Rhinolophus ferrumequinum: one gene and its partners. The protein of the gene in region 3 interacts with the protein of the main gene of each other region in a pairwise test. Links are inferred from orthologs where the notes say so. Each region holds a gene or a part of one and is shown on either strand. Other genes may lie near its edges. The genes, in order: OBI1, RAD54B and TCEANC.

Evidence for each region.
Region 1: the proteins of TCEANC (region 3) and OBI1 interact in binary tests that used the Homo sapiens proteins (3 or more experiments, as listed by UniProt). The two-hybrid records come from large-scale screens. The link is inferred for Rhinolophus ferrumequinum from reciprocal best matches to the Homo sapiens genes TCEANC and OBI1.
Region 2: the proteins of TCEANC (region 3) and RAD54B interact in a two-hybrid assay, tested with the Homo sapiens proteins (2 studies listed by BioGRID). The two-hybrid records come from large-scale screens. The link is inferred for Rhinolophus ferrumequinum from reciprocal best matches to the Homo sapiens genes TCEANC and RAD54B.

What each region holds. Positions count from the first base shown.
Region 1 is NC_046287.1:29,221,884-29,225,634, reverse strand, and holds the start of OBI1 (ORC ubiquitin ligase 1), read left to right. Parts: upstream 1-1,226; 5' UTR 1,227-1,307; coding exon 1,308-1,379; intron 1,380-3,751. UniProt on the Homo sapiens protein: E3 ubiquitin ligase essential for DNA replication origin activation during S phase.
Region 2 is NC_046297.1:35,818,366-35,822,116, reverse strand, and holds the start of RAD54B (DNA repair and recombination protein RAD54B), read left to right. Parts: upstream 1-1,464; 5' UTR 1,465-1,588; intron 1,589-3,751. UniProt on the Homo sapiens protein: Involved in DNA repair and mitotic recombination. May play an active role in recombination processes in concert with other members of the RAD52 epistasis group.
Region 3 is NC_046284.1:116,520,299-116,524,049, reverse strand, and holds the start of TCEANC (transcription elongation factor A N-terminal and central domain-containing protein), read left to right. Parts: upstream 1-1,260; 5' UTR 1,261-1,348; intron 1,349-1,365; exon of another isoform or gene 1,366-1,790; intron 1,791-3,325; 5' UTR 3,326-3,402; coding exon 3,403-3,451; intron 3,452-3,751.

The DNA of each region.
Region 1 (3,751 bases), on a different chromosome or scaffold from region 3:
AGGAAATGAACTTATTGAGCTATGTGGAAGAATTCTTACTATCCCCGGTGAGGACTTGGGCTCCTTCAAGTGAACTACTAGATGCTCCAATCTTACTGTCTGTTCCTTTTATAGACATGGTAGTAAGCATACATTGACCTCATTAATACACACACGTTTTATCAAGGAGGGAGCTAAAAAGCAGAGAGGTTAAACAAATTGTCTGAAGCCCGGAGAGCCAGAAAATTGTTCCAACAGGGATTTCTACTCTCACAGTCCAGGTGCAGACCCTATTTCTTTTAACCAGGAGGCTGCTTCTGTGATAATGCTGCCTCTTCTTCCAGAAAGATTAGTAAAATTAGTTCCGTTGGTTTTGTTTCTAAATCTCCCTACTCCTAGATTGTATTTGTTTGCATAAATTGATCACACTGGCTCTTCCTCACTTAAAAGTTGCAGTTGAATTCCTAATCTGTTATATTCAAGATTCACTGAGGAACTTTTATTAGAGTTTTCCTTTTTCATTGGTAGGACATGGGAACTTACAACCTCACATATTCCCCTTCGGAGTTCAGCAGCACAGTGGTACATTTCATAACCAACCTTGCACCTTATGAAATAAGGGCTTTAAACTCGAGTGCTTTCGGGGCGTGTGGAAGACTCACTATTTGCAGCTTCCTCACCTGTGGGTGTTAATCAGTCTGTGGTTCCGTCCCTTAAATCTCATCGTGGATGGAAAACCACAGACGGGCCAACAGTGAAAGCGTGTCTTCAGGGGAAGCTGCGATGAGTGTGTCCACATCGTCTGCTGAACAGATAAAGGGGGACCATCACAGTGTGTTGTTTTTAATGACATAACATCACTGAAGGCTACAAAGAGAGCTGAGAGTGGCCACGTTGTTTTGAAAAATTAAAATGTAGAGATCGTCTTTTCTCTTCCTGTTTTGACGGCACTGTGTGTCTGCAGAGTGTGTAGGGAGAGACTCGGGAATTTAAAACTCAGCTTTCCTTCTCTTCCTCTCCCCTCACCACTACGACGCTTCCATTTAAAGTTTGAAGATGCTCCATAGCTGTAGTAAACCGCCTTCCCTTTCACTCTCAGGAGCCTTGCAGCTCCCGAACAGCAGAAAGTTTTTTTTTTGGTTTTTCTTTAATGAAAAGAATGCAGAGCGGGCGAGCCCTGGGCGACCGCGCGCCCCGAAAGCGCGTTTCCGCGTCGGGCCCGGAGGCCGTGGCCCCGCCGGGTTGCCGTAGCCGCCCTCGCGCGCCCCCGTCGCAGCCGGATCGGCCGGCGGCGGGACTTCCGTGTTGGCGGGCTTCTGAACGCTGCCATGGCTCAGGCGGTGCAGAACGTTACATTGTCGCTCACTCTGCCCATCACGTGCCACATTTGCCTGGGGAAGGTAATGGGCGACGCCGGGCGCGGCTGCGAAGCGGGATCGGGTCGGAAGGAGCTCGCCGGAGCCGAGGGCGGGCTCGGGGTGGAGCGGGGACGCGGCGTGCGGCGCGGAGACGGCGAAGACGCCGCACCGGTGTTCTCCCCGGGCGACGGGAGGCCGCGTCCTGGGCGGGGGCTGCAGGCAGCGCGCCGGGAGGAGTGGGCTCCTCGGTGCGCCTCTCGGAGGAGGATGACAGCGGCCTGGGGGTTGCAGGGAGGCTGCCGAGGCGGCTCTGCCACGTCCAGCGCCCCCGCTCCCGCCGGCCGCGCCAGCCGGCCAGCGCCGACCTCCGAGGTGGCCTCGTCAGACACGAATCGCGACGATATTTTACGCCTCTGGCGCAACCCCGTCTGGCATGTAGTGAAGCCCATGAAAGCACGTTTCCTAGGGACCTCACCGAAGGTTCTTTCGTCCCCTACACAAGTAGGAGGGTCATGGTATTGGGCCTGCAGTGCTAGTCAGGGAATCTTCCACGTCCCAGATCCTCCTTTTTGCTTCACCCGACCTTGAATGGCCTTTGCTCCGGGTGCAGAATTTGAAAAGTAAATAGAACGTGTCCCTGAGTGGTGGTTAGCATGAGAGGTGTGGTCTTGAATTCCAAGAACGGATGAGTCACGCGATGGAATACCCTCTCTTTGTGATGCAAGAGGTGCCTAAAATGGGTGTGAAACAAGGTGGAGAAAGTTTTGAATTAGAAATGGGAGTTTGGAGTGTTGTGTTGCATTCCTCTCTCCTTTCCGTTGGTGCCTCCCATTCGGTTTTCAAAAGAGCATTTCTTTACCATGTGCATCAAGAATGGAGAAGATACTGTGAACAACCAGATTTTTTTTTCCACTCTCAATTTTTCTTACGTTTGGGGTGTCAGTGTGTTCCCCTCCCCACCCCCCAATTGCAGACTGAACCTACAGCCGCAGGCTTAGCCTTGAGAAATACAAACTTCATAGAGCAAATGTTTGAGTGCCAGCCAATACGATCAACTGCCTTTGGTGTTTGGGGTTCTGTGTGAATTTGCTAAGTTCAAGAAGTAGTAGAAAGTCAGGCATGAAAGCAACTAATAACGCTTGATACCAATCAGAATGAAACGCCAACAAAATGTGCTGTGAGAGCATATAGGGAATGGCTTGATCAATTCTGACTGGAGAGATCAAGGAGGGTCTGGCGGAGGGTGGTATTTGAGCTGGCATTTGCTACCACTGCCTGTGTACATGGCTGGGAGCAGGAGGAGATGACATATCTATTTGCTACCATCTACATTTGGCCCTTGCCGTGAGTGCCCACACGTATGTGTTCAATTCTGAGTGCATTTCCTAAAGGCTGATAAAAATATCCTTGAGAAATAAGTTTCATTCGGTCTTAGTTGTGTACCTTATATCTAGTTTCCATTAGTTAATAGTTGTGTTGCCTTTTTCAGTTGTGTTGAAAATGTGTTCTCTCTGGTTGATTTTCCATACCTATGCTTTTTGTGTTTAACAAGAAAATGATACCTAATAGAATATAGTGATTTGCAGATTACAGAATGCTTTTGTATGCATTTCATTATTCTTTCACTCCTGTCACCAGTGCTATAAGATAGAGGGGGCTGATTTCCCCATTTTTTGAATAAGAAGACAGACTTAGTTGCCGCCATTTGAACCTCTATTGCTACCATTGTCCTGAGTAGATTACTTAAAAACTCACTTGAGCTCATCCTTGACAGCAGACCCTTTTGGGGTCCTATTTTTTCCTTCCTATATTAGTGAGCTGTATTGTAAAATTAAATATGATAATAAAAGATGAACAAATTGTAAACAGGCATTTTTATCTGTCTACTATGAAGGCAGGAAGGTGTTGTGGTTGAGGGCCGGCCTGATTTCTGTGTTCGTACTGCATGAATTCTAATCTAGGCTCTTTCACCTGTTAGTTGTATGACCTTACGTAGGACAAGTTACTGATCTCTCAGAGCATTTTCCTTATCCATAAAATGGGAATGGCAATAGTATCAATACCCATCCTTGTGTTTGGAGGAAGATTAAATGAAGTAATTCGTATGTAGTGCTTCGCATAAAGTCTGGCACATAACAATATTCAATAAATGTTAACCTTTACTATGGGCACTGAGGCAGGCCCTCCAACTGAGGAAATCAGCCTCTTCTAGTAACTGTTCTTCCCATTTGCTTTGTGAGGCCATTGCACTGACTGGATGACTTGCATTCCTGACAGAGTGGGAGACCTGTTTTGTCTGGGAATTACCACAGTACAACCCGGGCTTCTAATTGGTTCCATGTGACTGTTGCCTGTCGTACAGTTGAAGCAAATCTGATTTGCTTGTGCTCCTCACCCTCCCACACACACAACTC
Region 2 (3,751 bases), on a different chromosome or scaffold from region 3:
CGCAGATAGTTACAAATCATATATTTATGTAATAAATTAGCATTGAGAAATAGTTGTATTCTTTCTGACTAAAATGACAGACATTTTCTAGCCCATCTTTAATATCATAAAATAATCAAGTAAGTAAGATAGTTCATAACAATTTTTATTAGAATAAAAAGTGAGGTTGATTTCTCCCCCTCATAGACAATTCCTATAAAATATAAATAACTCTCTTGAAGTTTACTGTTTCAAAAAAAGTATTTTATTTGTTATAACTAGGATTGTATTTCTTTTCAATTATACTCATCAGTCATAATTTTGCAGTTTGTCCTTATCTTTATTGTAGAAAATTAGCCCTAACTTTTTCAACATGAACACGGAAACTTATGCTGTTATATAACTAATAACATCTTTATTTGAAACATTACTTTTGCCAAAATAAAGTTAAAAAAATTATAGCAATTTAGTATATAAACAATGATAGATACTCGATCACAATTTGGTAAAATTTAATACTCCCTAATTCATCACATATCTTTAGAGTTAATGGCTTTTGAAAATCAGTCTAGATGATGAAAATTATTCTATTTACACATTTTCAAGTGTTTTGTTCAAACTGGAATATTTTTCTAGCTGTTACAGATGGTGGCCTGATTTGAAAATACTTTTATATTAAAAGGCCAGTGACCTATATATTTCTACCTTGTCACCATATTAAAGGTGTTCGGCCTCTTATAAAAACATCAGTTTGCCTATTTGGGTCAGGTAGTTTAAAGGGATGTGTTATTTTAACAAAGTTGGTGAAGTCACTTCATTACTAAAATGCAGCACGATTTAAGAGCTTTATGGTAAAATTCAGTTTATATATATGCTTTTTTTCCAAGCAAATACTGCTATGCAGACCATCAAACTGCATGAATATATCCATGTAAATAGATGTCTCAGATTTAAGAAGTATGTGTCATCTGTTCTGAAATGAGGTCTGTTGTTGGTGCAGACTCAGCATCTCCATCAAGTCTGACATAGGCATCAAATAAGTATTTTTTTAATTGAACCATAAACCTGAAGCAAACTTGGAGGCACTTAAAGAGAAATGCACTAGAAGGTACTATGCTAAGTGAAATAAGTCAAAGAGAAAGACAAATACCATATGATTTTCCTTATATGTGGGCTCTACAGAACAAAATAAACAAACTAGAAACAGACTCATACACCAGGGAACAAACTGATGATTGGCAGAAGAAGGAGGTTTGGCGGGGCTGGGTGACAAAGGTGAAAGGCTTAAGAAGTACAAATCGATAATTATCAAACAGTCACTGGTATGTAAAGTACAGTGTAGTTGGGGGAAAATCCAAACAAAAAGAGGAATGTAAAGGGACATGCGTGGTAATGTAGTCCAATCAGAGTCCGGGGCGGAAAAGGCGCTGCGGAGCAGGGGGCGGGAGATAGTGCGCGCGCAGCTGGCTCTTCCACGATTGGTCACGCGAAGGCGGGAGCCTTGAGCTACTGCGGCGGTGAGGGACGTGCTGCAGTCCCCTGATTTTTCTTGCCTGGGGCTTGCTTCTTTCGGATCCTTGTAGGTACGTCCCTGGAAGACAACCTTCAGGTGAGGCTGCGACAGCCTGTAGTCTCGTGCGGGATAAAGCGGGTAGAGAGTCAAGCAAGAGCAGGGCTCTGAGGGTGGAGGGACAGGAGCGGCGGAGCGGCTGTTGCCGCCTCCTGCGGGTCCTGAGCCGGTATGAAGTGAGAATGGCCCCCTCGCTGCTGATGTGGTTGGTGGCAGAGGAACGGGCGGTGGGTTTGCGTTTCTTGTGGTGGCGGGAGAGTGACTCCCAGCAGTGGTTGCCTCTGCACCAGCTCTATGGTCCGCCTGCACTGCTCCTGTGGCGCTTGCGTTTCTTTACCCCAGAACTAATCTACATACACTTTCCTGCATGGTATTAATTAATTAACAACAGATTTTTGTAGGCCAGTTTAGTGGGGCCACAAAGTAAAAGGAACAACTTAAGCCACGAAGTGAAATAACTACCACCTAATGTCGATGGAAAGGCAAAAAATAGAAACGGGGGGGGGGGGGAGGTTTGTTGCTGGTTCTTGGTCGTTATTTACATTCTTGCATCCCGGAGGTTTGATGGTCGCACCCCCTCCCCCTTCAAAGCACAAACGAATCCTTAGATTCAGGTCGTGATCCCCTTTGTTGAACTACATACTTCTATCTCCCCTTCAGGGACCTTCATCGTCTATACTTTCATAGGACCTTGTGTGTTAAACAGCCAATAATAATTACGTGTAATAATATTCCAGATAACATTGAGTGCTTACTATGTGTAAGCTTTGTTCTAAGTGCTTAAGTATTTCATTTACTCCAGTAGTCCTATGAGTAATTATGATTATTGTACCCCATTTTGTAGATGAGGAAATGGGTGCACAAAGAGGTTAAGTAAGCTGTGCAAGATCACACACTAGGAAGTGTCAGTCCAGATATATATTCAGGTGTTTACCTCCAAATTTGTGTTCTTAATTATTACACTACATTGCCACATAATTTAGGCCCTCTGGTATGTTGCAGCTGTCAGCCTGGACTTGCCATTTTATTTGGGAGGACAGAAGCAGGTAGGATGTTGGAGTCATCTCAGAAGTTGTAGCATCACAACAAGGCTGACAAATGGGGGCATTATTTATATGGCCTGGGAAAAGGCTCAAATAGCACTAACTTAAGAGGTGATAAGAATGCTGAAGTATTTAGGGGGGAAATATACTGATGTCTGCAGTTTACTTTGAATGCATCAACAAATTAGATGGCTTGATGGATGCCTAAGGTCATATGTAAATGGAAGAGCTAGAATTCAAGCCTACTTAGGCTGGCTCCAGAGTCTGTTTTCTGAACCACCATTCTGTGCTGCTTTTCACTTGCCTACATTCTCAATTCATTATTTTTTTTATTAGTTTACAGATAGGGCTTAAAAATTAGAACTCATGTATTAGATCTAGAAAGTTTCAGGGGTTGAAAGTGAAGATGAACAGAATTTTACTATCTAGTCCATAGTCTCCTATTTTACAAACAAAGAAGTTGATATCCAGAGTTTAAATAGCTTGCTCCAAATTTCTAGTTACTGTGTTTTTCTAGTTTTCCTTTTAAAAAGCTGTTGGTCAGAATTTTCAGTTTTACAGGGTAGTCTGACTAATGCAAAGAATAAACCTAATATATTTCATGGTGTGGATGTCATTTTTATTAGTGATATCTAGAATTCATTACTTGTAGTAGGCTCATCGTTATCTTTTTATTTCAGTTGAGCTATTGTCATCTAAAAGCCTTGAGTTTTGAATCTGAACTTCCCATTGTTCTATTTCATTTGACCATTAAGTGAATCTAAGTTCAGGGCCTAACATTTGTGTTTTTAAATCATCTTCTTGCAGTTAGCTTGTGTCAGTTTCAAATTTGTGTCAGTTGTGTATCTAGGGACGCGTAATATTCTGTCGACCTATTATAAAAAGGAAAATGAGTTAATGAGGTCATTTTGGTATGACTTGTTTGGACAGAATCTGTATTGACCACTGGTATTGGTAAATACTACTCCTAAAGTAAACAGTCACAAACCATTTTTTTTAAATTAATTAATTTATTTTTTAAATTTATTGGGGTGACAATTGTTAGTAAAATTACATAGATTTCAGGTGTGCAATTCTGTATCACATCATCTATAAATTACATTATGTGTTCACCATCCAGAGTCAGTTCTCCTTCCATCACCACATATTTGATCCCCCT
Region 3 (3,751 bases):
AAGGTCATATTCAGAGATTCTGGGGGTACGTATCTATCTTTGGTGGGAGGACGTTTTACCGCTCCTTCCTCCTCCTGCCCTCACCTGAGAGAGACCAGAAAATAGTGGAGGCAGTGCGGAAAGGTTGCAATAAGGTCGGTGAAGGAATTGATCCATGTCTTTCCCCTTTGCTGTCCCAGAGTTACAGACCACACCTGAGCTGAGGAAAGGTCGGAGCTTTTAATTGGATAATTGAATTTTTTATATTAGATTAGAATGGACTTTTTAACAACCTAAAAATAAGATTATTTCTTTATACCTGAGAGTCATTGGAAAAGCTGTGGGATTTACTTAAGCCTCAAGCTCCAGCCCTGGAGGAACCAATGGGCAGGGGAGAGAGCCCACAGAGGTTGTTTCAAGGCAGTAGTGAGAAAAAAAATAAGAGTCTCTTCGTACGTGCACCCTACGGAGCCCAGCCTGTTCCATAGATTTATACGTGTTGCACTGTTCTGTGATTCAAACAATCTTATTGCAATAGCCTTTTAAAACTAAAATCTCTTAGGCTATATCCAGGATGGACCGGCAGTATTTCAACAGTTTTTATAACTGAGTCGCTGCTGGGTTTTGTTTACTTTTATTTTTTACTAATTACAAATGTAACCTTGGTCTGTCTTCCCTCCTTCTAGGTAAGGTTTATTACATTGCTCAATCATAGAATCACCTGCTTCCTGACAGCATTCAATCCAGAGTAAAGCCCTGCTTCCTTGAACCTTCCCCCAAGTTACCTTATAGGAGGGGATCAGCAAAGAAGGCTGCCACATATTCTAGTTCTACCATCACTTTGGTTTTATTGAACCCTTGCACGGAAAGATGTGTATAGATGATTAGCGCGGGATGCACATGGCTACTTCATGAATGTCTACTACTTTCGTATCAAACTGATGCATGCTAGGGGTGCAGTAAATACTGTTGGATTAATTACTGCGTTAAATAAATAATTCATATTTTTGTCCAAAGTTTTGTCAACATTTAGCTGAGCACTGTCTTGACTGGAAGCAAAAAGGATAGGCTACAGAGTAGTTCAACAAATCTTGCTGCCCAAAAACGTTAGCCGGGCTAGTTTTTTTCAACTCATGCCGAGATGCTGGACTATACGGCCTCCGCCACCCAGCCACGGAGAGGCGGGCCCACGGGCGCTGACCCTCTGCGCAGGCGCCATCTCCACTGCACGCACGCGCTGGATCCAGGCTGCGTTCTTTGGTCTGCGGGCTTGGATTGGTTGAGCCGCCGTGGTCCCGCCCTGGGAACCGGAAGTTCCCTCAGGGCGAGGGGGTCAGTGAGGGCACGTAGGCGTCGCCTGCGCTTCTCGGTGAGACACACTGCGGGTTGGCTGGGGTCTCTGTCCACCGTTGCTTGGGGAAACCCACCCCTGCTTGGGGAGGCTCTCGGTGTTACCTGGGCCGGGTAGGCCCGAACGTGCCCTCGTCTCCTCCTCTCCAGCGGAGGTCGCGGCGTGGGCAGATTGCTCCGTGCCGCCGCTGCTTCTGGGCTGGGGGCCAGACTCACCCGGGGACGGTTTGCCTCCGGCTTTGCTTGTCGCACCACACCCATTGGAACCCGAACCCGAACCCGGACCAGAGCGGGCCCTTAGACTGCTCCCTCGCACTCGCTGCACCTTTGCTAGGGATCATCCTGACGTGAGAGGACCCCAGCGCAGTATTGAGTGGCTGTTCAGGAACTGCAACGCCCCTACCAACATTTGGCATCATTTCTCTCCATAGACGAGGGGCTCCCTGTGTAACTGGAGAGGTGTATGTGTTACGGCTGGAAACTTAAATTTTCTCTCTAGATCTTAGATCTAAAGGCCTAAACAGATCTAGGTTCCAGCTGATTTGTTAGCAGCCTTTGGAAATTTTTCTTTGATCTTTCCCCTTTAGGGTTTAGGCCAGGTGTATGTACCTTGCCCATACTGTAGTATTAGTTAATATTTACAAGCTTTTAACGTGCATTTGGTCCACGGATATTTATGGCCCACTCTTGCTGGTGCTGTGTAAACTCTATTTTTGATACGTATTCAGAAGGTAGGGGTATAGGTATGTAAGCATCTATATTCGCATATGCACTAGAACTGTGTTGTCCAATATGGTAGCCACTAGCTACCTAAGTGTTGAGCACTTGAAATTGTGCCCAGTCCGAATTGAGTTCTGCAGTAAGTGTAAACAGCGAATTTTGGAGAATCAGTATGAAAAAGAATATATGTCAGTAATTCGTTTATATTGATAGCATCTTAAAATGGCAGTATTTCGGATACACTGGGTTAGATAAAATATTAATTTCACCTGTTTGTTTTTTAACATGGCTACTAGACAGTTTTAAATTCTGTCAGTGGCTTGCATTACATTGCTATTGAACAAAGCATTGCTCTAGAAAGGAATCAGCAAACACTGGCCTGCAGCCGAATCCAGCCTGCCTGTCTTTGAAAAAAATAATTATTGGAACAAAGCCATACCCATTCATTGATGTATTGTCTATGGCTGTTGTTCTTCCATAAGAGCCTGGAGTTGGGTAGTCCATACAGAGATTTGATGGACTGCAAAGTCTGAAATATTTACTATCTGGCCTTTTACAGAAAAAGTTTGCTAATCCCCTGTTCCAGAACAATGCCTGCTGTGGTAAATATATGTAAGCCTTTTCATTGTAGTCCTGCGTAATTGTCAGTCAGGCTTACAGTGTAACAGGCATACACTTCTAAGGACTTCATAAGGACTATCTCGTCTAATTTTCATATTAATCCTAGGATGTTGGATTTCCCCCATTTTGTAGATGAGGAAATTGAGGCACAAAATGGTCATGAAATTTACCCAATGTTCTCAATACTCCTTACTTCTGGGAACTGTATCTTCTTGACCTTCCTTATTCACAAATGGCTTGACGCCTGGAACTCACTTGATTAGTCCACAGTAGGCACCATGCTCTCTTTTTGTTTGTTTGTTTTTGAACTAGAATTTTTTAAATGACCTTTTAACTAGAATTGAGATGAGGTTGGTCTCGTGGAAGAAGCTGAGGGGCGCTGAGCTTAGGTGCAATGGGTACAAGCAAGGTGATCTGTAGTGACCAGAATGAAGCTCACAAGCAGAGAGGAGAGCATCCTGGGTGCTGTTTAGTCATTTAACAAAAAACATTTGTTCAGTAATAGTGAGCACTGGCCAGGTGTTTGCCAGGTGTGTATCAGTGAATGGAACAAATGTCATTCTTAGGGTCTTGTGGGGAAGACAGACAATTAAAAAAAAATTAACATGGTACGGACCATATAAAACAATGTGCAAATACTTGATGTTTTTTACAGGTTTCGTCATCCGTAAGTTGGAGATAAGTTGTACACCTGTCTCGGTTCTTGTGAGGATTGAGATGACCTGAGTGTGTATGGCACGGAGTTGCTCAATAAATGTACATTGTCTTCCACTGTTAAGAGGTAAGTGAGGGAATGAACATGAGGAATTGGGGGCATCGTGTCATTTTAAATATGACAGTCACCAGTTGTTATTTGTAGGAAGGCTCTCAGGTGAGTTGGGCACAGTACATGTTTTTCACATTTCCTGATTTAATGTCACTCATCTAGCAAAACCCGAAGTCAGGTTCTGTGTGTTCCGTCTAGGAGCAGGGTGGGAGCTGTCCTTGGGCTGAGTTACAGCGTGACTGTTACTGTTACAGCATAACTGGGACGGGCCTGCTGCAGGAAGGGAGTTGTGCCTCTCCAGTGGTGGCAGGCCTG